Linked DNA regions of Danio rerio. The protein of the gene in region 2 interacts with the protein of the main gene of each other region in a biochemical or structural test. Links are inferred from orthologs where the notes say so. Each region holds a gene or a part of one and is shown on either strand. Other genes may lie near its edges.

Evidence for each region.
Region 1: the proteins of myo18aa (region 2) and golph3a form a complex in vitro, tested with the Homo sapiens proteins (2 studies listed by IntAct). The link is inferred for Danio rerio from reciprocal best matches to the Homo sapiens genes MYO18A and GOLPH3.

Annotation. Positions count from the first base shown.
Region 1 is NC_133180.1:42,003,733-42,008,572, forward strand, and holds part of golph3a (Golgi phosphoprotein 3), read right to left. Parts: intron 2,801-4,840; coding exon 2,376-2,800; 3' UTR 1-2,375. UniProt on the Homo sapiens protein: Phosphatidylinositol-4-phosphate-binding protein that links Golgi membranes to the cytoskeleton and may participate in the tensile force required for vesicle budding from the Golgi.
Region 2 is NC_133185.1:42,093,311-42,100,588, reverse strand, and holds part of myo18aa (unconventional myosin-XVIIIa), read left to right. Parts: 5' UTR 1-827; coding exon 828-971; intron 972-3,165; exon of another isoform or gene 3,166-4,936; coding exon of another isoform or gene 4,937-5,062; intron 5,063-5,625; coding exon 5,626-6,489; intron 6,490-7,010; coding exon 7,011-7,088; intron 7,089-7,278.

The sequences.
Region 1 (4,840 bases), on a different chromosome or scaffold from region 2:
CAACACAATCTCACTGCAATTTGTAACTTTTTCATGTAGTGGCTAATTCGTACGATCTAATTTGTACATTTTAGTACGATTTGCTCATCCCCCAATGACGGTTGGGTTTAGGGGTGGGGTTAGGTGCCAGGCCTCCTTTTTAAAATCGTACAATTTCTTACGGCTGAACTCGTAACGAATTAGCCACTAAACTGCCAAAACGTAAAATACTTTTGTTCTCTCGTGAGATCAGATTGGTATTTTACCATTCTATTCCACTGTTTAAATATTGTCAAGTATTTCTCCTGTATTTTTAATATTTCTATGAAAAGTGAGAGTAGCATCAAAGAGCCGATCTCAAACGTGATATAATTGCAAGAGTTGTTCGAGAGAATTATGCTTTCACTTTATATATATATATATAAACCATATATATATGGTTTGAAAGCATGATGAAATTAATATTTCACTACCTGAAGTCTTGTTGTCGATCTCAATCCCTGGAGCGTCACGCTGATCAGGTGGTTTGTCTATAAACTGACATACGAGCGCTCAAATGTCGACATAAAACGATTCAGTGTCCCTGTATCTGTGGTTACATGCAGTAAACAGTGGTGAGTTCTGTGAACCGATGGCCTTCACAGCCAATCACAGTTTGGGTGTGTTTTTAAACGAACAAATTCACCCAATAATATGTGAACATATCTGTCCTGGCGTGTTTCATTTTAAAAACAAATAATTTTATCTTAAATGAGCATAAACGGTTACGAAAGTAATCTGTGGATTCTTAAAGGGACACCTCTGTTATAAAAAAGAAAAACAGTGGATCAAAATGAGAGATTCATTTCTCTTCACTAAACAACTAAAATAACTTTAATCAATATTTACAGTGAATAAAAAGTGATTTTATGACTTGATTTTATTTCTCGAAGGGTATCTTGTATTTTTACATCCCAATGTTGACAAGTATGAGAAACTCAAAGAAGTTTTGAACAAGTGAACGTTGAGTAAAAGACAGAATTTTCATTTTTGGGTGAACTATACCTTTAAGAGACGTTTTCATCAATCGGTCAAATTTTCTTTTCCTTTAAATGCAGGCGAAAACACATTTGACTCTCAAAGTGTAAACACTAATGTAGTGTAACGTCATTTAACTATTCTCCTTAACCTCATCAATGTAACTTCATTGAGGAAATGTTCTGCATAGTTTCGTGTCTATTAGAACAAAGTCAGTATCGTTTTTCATCATCTCCTTTCACACTTGTATGTAAACCGTGCAAAAATCCTATTAAACTTTCTGTCCCAACATAGAGCTGTGGAAATAAAAAATAATTCAAGAAATTGATTTTGCATCAAATCGAAAATTTTCTTAACACATTACTGTTCAATAAAATCTGAACTTTGAGCAGTTTTAACAGTAGGTGGCACTCTAGCCTCGTTTATAAACATATACTTAAATGCTCTCCAGAAAGAGTGGCTGTGCATTCGCTGAGTCAGGCAAGTTTGGTCAGTTTACGATAATCAATTTTGTAATTCTTGAAAAAAATTTCGTTATTTAATTATTTTAAGTTCAAGTGGTATTTATAAGGAACTGAAAGCAAGGAGAGTAAATCAAACAGCGCCGTCTCCTGTTAAAACTAAGCTCAGAATCTATTTAGTGAAAAACAATGCATTTTGAATATCAGGGAATCAATTTCTCACCACAGCATTACTGCTTATAGAGACAAAGTAGTCTGGACAAAGGAGATGGATTTAAACACCCAATCTGATTGACCAAAACATAGGTGTAAACAGGGCTTTTGTTTCAGCAGCGTGAATGTTAGCTGTTAGCATTAGCACCCTTTCCACAAATAACTTATCTGTCATTCCAACAGGACTAACTCTGATGACCTTTTTTTGGTTACTTTTCAGCCTTCGTTATTAGACAACAAACGGACAACAAATCGAATTAAAAAATATACACTAGTGTATTTATTTTCAGATTAGCAACGGTTGAGCCGTACCACTGTGCAATGTACACAGCTTCCGTCACAAATGGATCCCAATTAGATGACAAAACAGAAATCAAATTCTTGAATATTTTCTAGTCGGTCAATAACCGACGCAGATATCCAAGCATGAAAACATTGAAAAACAAAAACAAGCCATTTTGTGCAGCGATACTAAAACGTAATTCTCAACAGTACAGTGAGAAGGAACCCATCGGCACTCAAAATAAACTGGTCCCCTTTTCCAACAAGAGAGAGAAACCCAATGATAGATCTTGCAGGGAGAAAAGTAAGGGAGGGAGATTTATCTACAAGGAAGGAAAGACACCGAGACTCCACTTTCATCCACCACTTCTCAAACCTGATTTTACCAGTCCAAACGTCATATTTGTCAGAAGTCAAGCTGCTTCATTTGGTGAAGGCGGCCACCACCGCCCACAGCAGCTCATTGGCGTTGTTCTTCATGCTCTCGCCCTCAGGCTCCAGGTCCAGCAGCTGTCGTACTCTCTTCATGGCCAGATCGTATTGGTCATCCAGCAGCGGGGCGAACGCATTCTCCAGGACGTCAGACGAATGGGCCAGGAATATTAGGGCCAGAAGGCGCTTGTCCATTCGGTGAGGGTCGTTCACCCACTTTTCCAGCACGGACTCCTGCACTTTCTTTATAAGGCGCTGCTTTATATTATTGTTGGTGAGGGGGTGTGTGGTCATGTCGAAAAGAAGAAAGTTTTGTTTCTCTGTGGTGAGGACACCTTTCTCCACCAGGTTTTTGGCCAGGCGCTCTCGAACATTACGCAGCTGATAATGAAGCTTTAATGGGTTCCATGTTTCACCTGTGAAAGACAAAACACTTTTAGTATAAAACATTCAGTGATTTGTGGTTCATTTGGCAGAAATGTAGATGAATTTAGCATCCTCCTTATACTAGAAATATTTTATTTGTAACTACAGCATGAAGTCATCTTTCATATAGATGTTACGCATCTTTTCACAAATTGCTCTGCAGCTGTAACCTAAATGTTAAAAAATATCACTGGGTATATGCAGCAATCCTAAAGGCCATTTCAATACCGTTTTAAAGACCTTCTCAGAATATTTTAAGACCTCATTGCCACTCTAAGTTCTAATCACTATCAAAACTTTACCTCCAACTGGTGTGCATGATACATTCATTTGAAACTCCAACTCAATTCTGATTGCTAAAGTAGACATCAGGGTTGTGATTATCTGTAAAACGCTTATCAGACATACATAAATCAAGATTGAGATGAATAACTGCAAAAGTTATCTGGACCAGAAATGTTGAGGATAATGAGGTAAAATATAAATGGATTTTTACATTATAATTGTGTTGCTAATACATTTGTAGCATTTTGAGAGTAACAATTAACACTCATTTTCCTACGACTTAATCTAATGGTCTTAAACTCAATTCCTGGATGGCCGCAGCTTTGCATAGTTTAGCTCCAAACACCTCCACCCTTACGCCTGCTCACCCACACTCTATCCCATTCACACGTTACAGCCAATTTAGTTTATACAAATCGGGGAGAGCATGCAAACTTAGAAACCAGCAACCTTCTTGCAACCACGCAATTCACTTAGGCCTTGTCCACATAACCACAAGTATTTTCAAAACCGTAGTTTTTTCTATGCAAAATCTATTGGGTGAGTGAAACCAAAACTTTCTGAAAACTCTAGCCAGGGAGAAGATTTTCTAAAACTCAGAAACTTAGTGAGGTCGTGTGGACACTACAACTGGAGTTTCTTCCTCATGGTATTCCTCACTGTTTTCTCCTTTCTGATTGGCCAACATGGCTGAGTTCACAGCAAATGAAAAATATATCATTGAGGAAAATTCTGATGTTTGCAGCAATTAAGTCACGTATTCCTGGTCGCTCGCATTGCAGGATGGTAATCCACCCATTCTTACATTTGCATTGATTTGTATGCAATGTAATTCAGGGCTCGAAATTGCGACCATTTTGGTCGCATATGCGCCCGAAATTTTATCTATGCGACCTCAAAATATATTTGGGAGCATTTCTGCGAGTGCTTAAAATTGTTGTGTGCGACCAGTTTTTACTGCAAAATGTTCACCACATGCGCAGATTTGAGAGACATTCACGCAGGATGCATCTCTAAGCTCTTTGTCTGCACCTGAAATGCGAAACGCAGCGCTCAGGAATGGTTTAAAACAGTTGTCATTTCAACTTGCTGCAGTAAACAAATCCACGTCCGTAATGCTTGCTCCGCCTTCGCGCTCTTCTTATTGGCCCACCACTGCTCTAGCACTGAACACGAATGATTGGTTAATATCAGCTGTCAATCACTCAGCGCCTTCTGGCTTGGGATGACAGAGATAGCTACTTACGCGAAAAACTAAAGCGCTTAAGATGAGAATAATAATAACACTGACAGATTTTTGTTTTAGAAACCATGGCATCTAAAGTTATAAATAATGACACATCTTAGTTGTGATCATGTGCTGAATGTTGATCCACCATCTACAATTTTCCAAGAGCGGATAAAAGACTTCCATTGGCTTCAAGTCCGCTATGAAAAGTCTGTGGGATGGAATTTTTAGGTAACTGTTCGCCACATCTAGCACAAGAGCTTCTGTTTAATCCTTCATATAATCGCAAGATGCTGTCCGCCGTGCAAGGGGCAGCAATATGTAAAATTTAACACTACGTACACCATCGCAAACAGGCTTACACTGAATAAGCTAATATCGCTACTCATGAAAAGACCGGTATTGCTATTAACATGACGTATGCATATAATAAGGTACAGTACATGTCAAAAGCATCAGTGCAATATCAGACAGCACTTGTGGGAACAGCACTGTTATACCATTAACAGATTCATTC
Region 2 (7,278 bases):
TCTCAACAACATAAGGTGCCATTGACTTGAAATTTTCTGCGGATGTTAGTACCAACCAAAGAAATCCATACATGCAATGAAAACAAATCTAATTAGTTTACAAGTGAAGTTATGTGTAATAAAAATAATATGACGCAAAGAAAAGTATTGAACACATGAAGAAAGGGAGGTGTAAAAAGGCAGTGAAAGCCCAGACAGCAACTGAAATCTCTCAGTAGTTCTTCAGCAACCCTCTGCCCTTCCTCAGTGAAAATGAATATCAGCTGCTTCAGTCCAACATCTACATTAGCAGGAGGATGGAGATGAAATCAGGATGGACATTTCAGCAAGACAATGATCCAAAACACAGTCAAGGAAACTCTCAAATGCTTTAGAGAAAAAAACAAGCTGTGGAATGGCCTAGCCAATCACTTGACCAATAGAAAATACAAAATAAATTTGACAAGAGACCCACAGAACCATGAAGATTTTTACACTCTGTTGAAGTCTGTGATAAAAATCACACCTGAGCATTCCATGTGACTTCATTCTTCATCTGAGAGGTGTCTTTAAGTTGCCACCACCAAAAAGTCATGAGTATTAAACACATTTCAGTATTTTTTTCTTGTGTCATACAATTGTTATCACTTAAAATGTTTTTTTTTTTGTTTTTTTTACCAAAATCTGGTTCAATCTCATATCAACAGCTCCTTTAGAAATATTATTCCCAGGAAAAAAAAACATGATATGCTCAATACTTATTTTCCCCACTGTAGCTGAAAAAAGGCAGATGTTAAGCTTTATTCTCACAGAGAAATAATATCTGAACTACATCTCTATGAGAATCTATGAGTCAACAAAGTGTAGATTGGGTTAAGAGAGAGAAAATATGGTTATATGCTACATCCAGAACAATATTAACTTTACCACTGTGTTCATCTTCCTCACTTCAGGTGAAAGATGAAAACGTACCGGGTGCTAAAGGCTCGAGTGTAAGTGTTTAAGCGGCATCTTCATTACTGCATGACTCTGAGTTCAGAAGGTTGCCTGTTCAGAAATCAGATGAGCTCACATCTCTTAGCACTCAGCATTTGTTATTGTGGCTGGGGTTCACTTGAAAACACATCCTTGTGTGTTTACTTCACATATATCATCGGGAGTTGCTAAAGATGGGGTTTGTTTTGAAAAGCCTTTATCTTTTACGAAAGCTGTTGGCTTCCGGCCTTGCATTTGCTCTGTAATTGCTGTACTTTGTCTGTAATTTCTGTCACCACTGGCTTGCTTAGTTTTGGGACTTGTGAAGCTGCAAATCGATGGATTTGCTCTTCAGTGTTTAGACTTTTAGGAGTGAAAATTAAACCACACTGAACTGAACTAAACTAACTAACAATTGAATTGTTTGAAATAGGGCTGGGCGATATGACAAACATCTCATCAGTCATATCCTGATATCACGATACAGTACCATTTACAGTATGTAAATTCAGTTCATTAATAGTTTATTTCACAAATTCCGGGATTAATTTTCATCCCAAAATAATAAACACCCCAACCCCAGTCTATAAGTATACAATACAGCCATAATCAAAACTACTTTTTAGTTATAATATGTTGCTTTGGGGAAAATAATTCCCCATTAAGAGACAGAAGAAAGGGCCCTAAATCTTGTGAAATTGTCCAATGTTGCCTTTTAAAAGACATCTGGTTCATTCCAAGTGCAAAGTAGATATCAATTCATAAAGCTATAGTTTAGCAGTTGGATGATTAACATTTTTCCAGTGCAATAATAGTAGCTTTTTTGCTGTTATCAAACAATATGTATGAAATCTCTGTTATGCACAGCTTAGTGAATTTGTCAGAATGCTCTAATATAATAAGCGCTGCATCAGAATCTACGTGTAGATCAAGAATATCTAAAAGCAGTTTAAGGTAAAAAAGAGTCTGAAATTGTTCTATTTATTAAAACGCATGCTAATGGACTACTGAACAAAATTCTTATCCAAGTTATAAACTCATCTCCCAAATCAAGGAAAGCAAACAAGTAACCTCACTCCACTCAAATAACTTGCCTAGTTTACTCTAACCTGCCTAGTTACCCTAATTAACCTAGTTAAGCCTTTAAATGTCACTTTAAGCTGTACAGAAGTGTCTTGAAAAATATCTAGTCGAATATTATTTACCGTCATCATGGCAAAGATAAAATAAATCAGTTATTAGAGATGAGCTATTAAAACTATTATGTTTAGAAATGTGTTGAAAAAAATCTATTTGTTAAACAAAAATTGTGGAAAAAAATAAACAGGGGGGGGGGGTAATTCAGGGGGATAATAATTCTGACTTCAACTGTACATTAACAAATTTATGAATTAATATACCGAGTCTATTAGCAAGTGTTTTAGATAATATTTTTTATCAACAATGAGAAGGGAGATGGATCTTAGGAAGGGTCTGTACGCCTCGGCTTCTTTAGGATTTTTACCTTTTTTAAGAATTGCTGTAATAATAGCCTCAGAAAAAGTTGGTGGTAGTCCAGTTATTTACAGTTGCTGAAAAAAGCCTTAAACAAACAAGTATGTGGCTGAATTTTTTTATATAGTTCAGCTGGCAGCCCATTAGGACCGGGAGTTTTACCGATTTTTAAAGTATTTATTGTGATCTTTAATTCCTCTAAAGCAGGGGTGTCTAAACTCGGTCCTGGAGGGCCAGTGTCCTGCATAGTTTTGCTCAAACTTCTTTCAACACACCTTCCTGAAAGTTTCTAGTATACCTAGAAAGAGCTTGATTACCTGGGTCAGGTGTGTTTAATTGGGCTTGGAACTAAAATATGCAGGACACCGGCCCTCAAGGACTGTGTTTGGACACCCCTGCTCTAAAGCAAAGTCTTTATTAAGAGATGCCCGGTTCTCTGAAGATAACTCGGGGAGATTACATTTATGTAGAAATGATTCCATTGTTTGTGAGTCCAACTCCGTGTCTGAGGTGTATAGCTTTGAGTAAAATTCCTTAAAACATTTGTTTATCTCTTTATTTGCGATACAGTGAGTCCCACGTATAAATTAATCTTTCACTATATATTATGCGCAACTGTCTAACTAGTCATTTATGGGGTTTCTATCCAAATTGAAAATATTTCTGTTTCACATGATGAAAAGTTCTATTCATTTTTTTTTTTTACATTTTAAAGTATTTTCTGGATCACATTTGATCACATTTAACTTTATTTAGAACATCAGGGCAATGTTTGATAAAAAAAAACAAAAAAACAAAGGATGTCAGGTCTAAGCATGGGAGAAAAACTGTTTTTAGGGTATACGGCGGTTTGGGAAAAGTCAAGGTTTTAAAACTGCCAAAATTTTCTGTAATACTGTTCCTAAGGTATGTGTAAGTTTTTAATTTACATTTATTTAATTTTTTTTAGGACAACAGTATCTCCAGCAGAAAATATCCAAAGATGCCATTTTAAATTGTAAAGAAATCTGTGTTTTTGAAACTAACATAGACAGCAGTCAAGTCAAGAGCTGCGTCCCAAATGGCACACTATACACTATGCACTCATGCACTATGTACTTATGCACTTACACACTCAACAGCATAGTATATGTATGTACTGTCGTCCCAAATGGCACACTATTGTTTTTTTTATTAAGCGGAAATTCAAACCGTTTCCCTAATGACGTTTGACGGTTGCCAAATCAGTGAAATAAACGACCGAATTATCAAATAATACCTGCCGTGAGTATTGCCACATTCACCATCGGGAGGCGCTATAATCACTCTCGTAGAAGAATTTTGCTTTCACCATCCAAAAAAAAAAAAGTTATCCAACATGTGCGGCCGATAGCTCCGCCCCTTCCGCTACGTAAGCTAACCTGCGGTCGTTGAGTGCGTGAAGGGCCCTTCATTACACACTTCATTTTACCGTCTGAATGAGTGCATCATCTGGGAAATTAAAGTGCACTTATGATTTTTAGAGTTTTCAGTGTGAACACACTACTTACACTATTTATACTACAAAATGGCATAAGTAGTAAGTATGCGGCCTAAATAGTGCATAAGTATGCGATTTGGGATGCCGCTATGGATCCATTTAAATTATTTAGCCTGACATGTTTACTGCTCAAAAAAATCATAAATCTTTCAAAAAATAAAATATATTGTGTTCAAGGGAAATAAGTGGTTGTTTTTTTTACCTAGACTTTTAAAAACAACATATTTTAGAGCAGTGAGCACAATACCATGATACCATGGAACCGTGATATTTTTATCCAAGGTTATCATACCGTCAGAATCTGAATCCGGCCCATGCCTAGTCAGGTCCAACATAAAAAAAAAAAAAAAAAGCTAAATAAAATGCTAAATGTAAACATTATACTTTTTAAGTTTGTAACTTTCTCACAATGCTGCCTGAATCACAGTAATGGTGTGTAGTACTCTTTTATAAATTATGAAAGTAAGTAAACAATGTATTTTGTGACACCACAATATAAATATACATAATATAAAATTAACGGCTTTTTATTTTGTCCACACAATATATATATTGTCATGTTGCACAGCCCTAGTGTGTATGTAGTTCATCTATTTCTTCTTTCTATTTCTTCACCTATTTAATCCAGAGGAATTTGTGGAGTAGTATTGATTGAAAGGTGGCATTTTAATAGGTATTGGCAAAACAAAGTGGCTTCCAGAACTTGTGCTGAATGCTCAAATGTTCAGTTGTTAACGTACTGTAGTGTTCATGTTTATGTCAGAGTGATGGTATAGTATGTTGGTGTTTGTTTGGCACTGTCCTGCTGCTCTACTCTAGTGGGTGGAGCCTGCTGACATTACACCCTGCCTCTTTTCGTCCTCCAATCACTGCTGTAGTGTAGAGGAAGAAAGAGAGGGAAGGAGCAGGAGAAGGATGCTGAGCTAAGAATGTGCCTGAAGCAAATGTGTGAGAGGGTTGCAAGTCATCATGGAGGTATCGGACTGGGGGCCTGTCCGGCACTCTCAGAGTGCTGCTGTTGCTTTCAGCATCCCGCAGAACAGCGTGCACAGCTGGAAGAGCACCAGTATCATCACCTTCAGGATAGACATGAAGGTCTGTCTGCATATAAGAGCTCATTCTTAGTACCTTAAGAATAAATGTGCACTATAAACTGTCATTTTAAAGTGTGAAATGATTATGAGGTCTTTGGAATACTTAAGGTTCTGAATTGTGCATGGTGTGAGAGAGTACAAAAAGTCCATGCGGTTGATCCAGTAGAGTTGTGTTTCAGGGCTGTGAGCCAGCGCTGCGCTGCAGTGACCTTAATTACTGGGTTTGTCAGTTAACCTGTCTAACTGTGCTGAGAAAAGAACTGCAAAGTGCCTGGCCATGTGGAAGAAAGCAAATCAAAGTGTTTTTCAGATGAACTCAGTAGTGCTGCTGTGCTGGAGAGAGTGAAGAGCTTCTGATCTTTAGAACAGAAACCCGTCTGACACCTTTTGGGAAATTCAGGAAACTTTGGAAGGTTGTTGCTTGTGGAATTTTACCAAAGCTTTTGTAAACCTTGTATTATTGTAGGTTAGGAGTGATGTGAACTCTTATATTTTTGTTCCAGCAGCTAGCGCATGTTTACTTTGTTTTGACCTGTACATGTGTGTTTTGGGTTGTATGAACAGTCAGAGAGCGAGAACAACACGAGTCAACCCCAGACAACACCATCGGTAAGTGGTCCAACTGAGCGACAGCGAGGGGAACCATCAACACCGCTGAATCCAGAGCGGCCAATGAATATAGATCAGAGGAGCAGTGGGTCCATTAATGGAAGACAAGGCAGCATGGAATCAGATACGCTGGCAAGAAGAGGACTCAATCTGGCGAATAAAACAGGGTCAGAGGAAAAACAGTCAACAGCTACTTCAGTTCCCAAAACTAGCCGGCCCCTGCAAGCCAGCAGCTCGGTGGATGGAGATGCCCTTGCTTTCGGGTTGACCAGCCTAATGGGGCGTGCAAGAAGTAAGGAACATCGCTCCCGCTCGAGAGCTACCGAACGCAAAGAAACTCAGGAGGAAAGCCAAGAAAGGACTGGGGAAAGTGAGACACCCACAGAGGAACCCCAGCTGTCTGTCCCAGCAACCAGTCCACCTCCTAAAGCAGACCCTCTTGCACCTCCTGTAGGCTTTTTACCTCCTAAGCAGAATCCTCTAACCCCTCCAGCTGGATTCATTCCAGCTGCCAAACCCAATCCATTGGCTCCACCTGCTGGTTTCATCCCAAAACCAAACTCTTCCACTCAACCTACACCCAATCCTGATCATCCTACACCACCCTCAGGATTTAATCCTGCTTCTAAAGCAAACCTTTCCACTCAATCTGTGCCCAAACCTGATCCTTTAGCACCTCCAGCAGGATTTCTTCCCCCTCCGAAGCGAGACCCGTTTCCATCAGTGCCAGGATTTATACCCAAGCCTAAAGTTGATCCACTAGCACCTCCCACAGGGTTTATTCCTGCGTCCCGGATGGCCGCTGTACGAAAGCCGGAGGTACAGACTGCATGTCTTTCTGAATGCTTTTGTAACGCATGAAATTGCTCAGCAGCCCAGTCTTACTGCAGAACTAATCTCTCACTGTTTGCATAAAGGCTTCTGACTTCTCTACTACTTTAACTCTTTGGAGTGGATTGAAGTGCTATCTATCAAACCAGAGGATTGCTACGATAATTCAGCATGACAACTGATGAGAAAGTGACATTTTTGAAGGCACAACATCTCTGGTTTTAACAGCAAAGTTGTTGGGTTAAGGCGTAGGTTATATATCAGACTAACATTGCATTTGCACTGATCATGTCAATTGCGGACAACTTGTATCTGTTGGTTTCCATCTCACAAGTTTGGGGAAAAGCTGCTACACTAACTTTAAATTGCCATGGCATCTGTACATTGCTGTTCTCTGGTGATTTGAAGTGTGTTTTTATCTTCAATTTTGGACAAAAGCATCTGCTAAATGAATAAATGTAAATGTCTTCTCACATATAAGCCTAGTGACTAGTGGTATGTGTGTGAAGGTAAAGGGAGTGTCAAAACCTTCTGCAGCTCCTGCTGGTAAACTTCCGTCACAGATTTCCACCATCACCAACCAACAGGTGTGTGTCCTGCAACCCCCAAGGTATTTGAGTAAAGTCCTGCTTACACTGTGCCACTGCAGCCATGGTTTGGTTGTCTGAGACTAATCCTAGAGTAAAATCTGTGGTCTTTCATTGTTGGTTTGACATGTTCACCGGTAGCATCTTAAAGGCCGTTGCAATCAAATTTCCCTGTGAGGAAGTTCTGGCA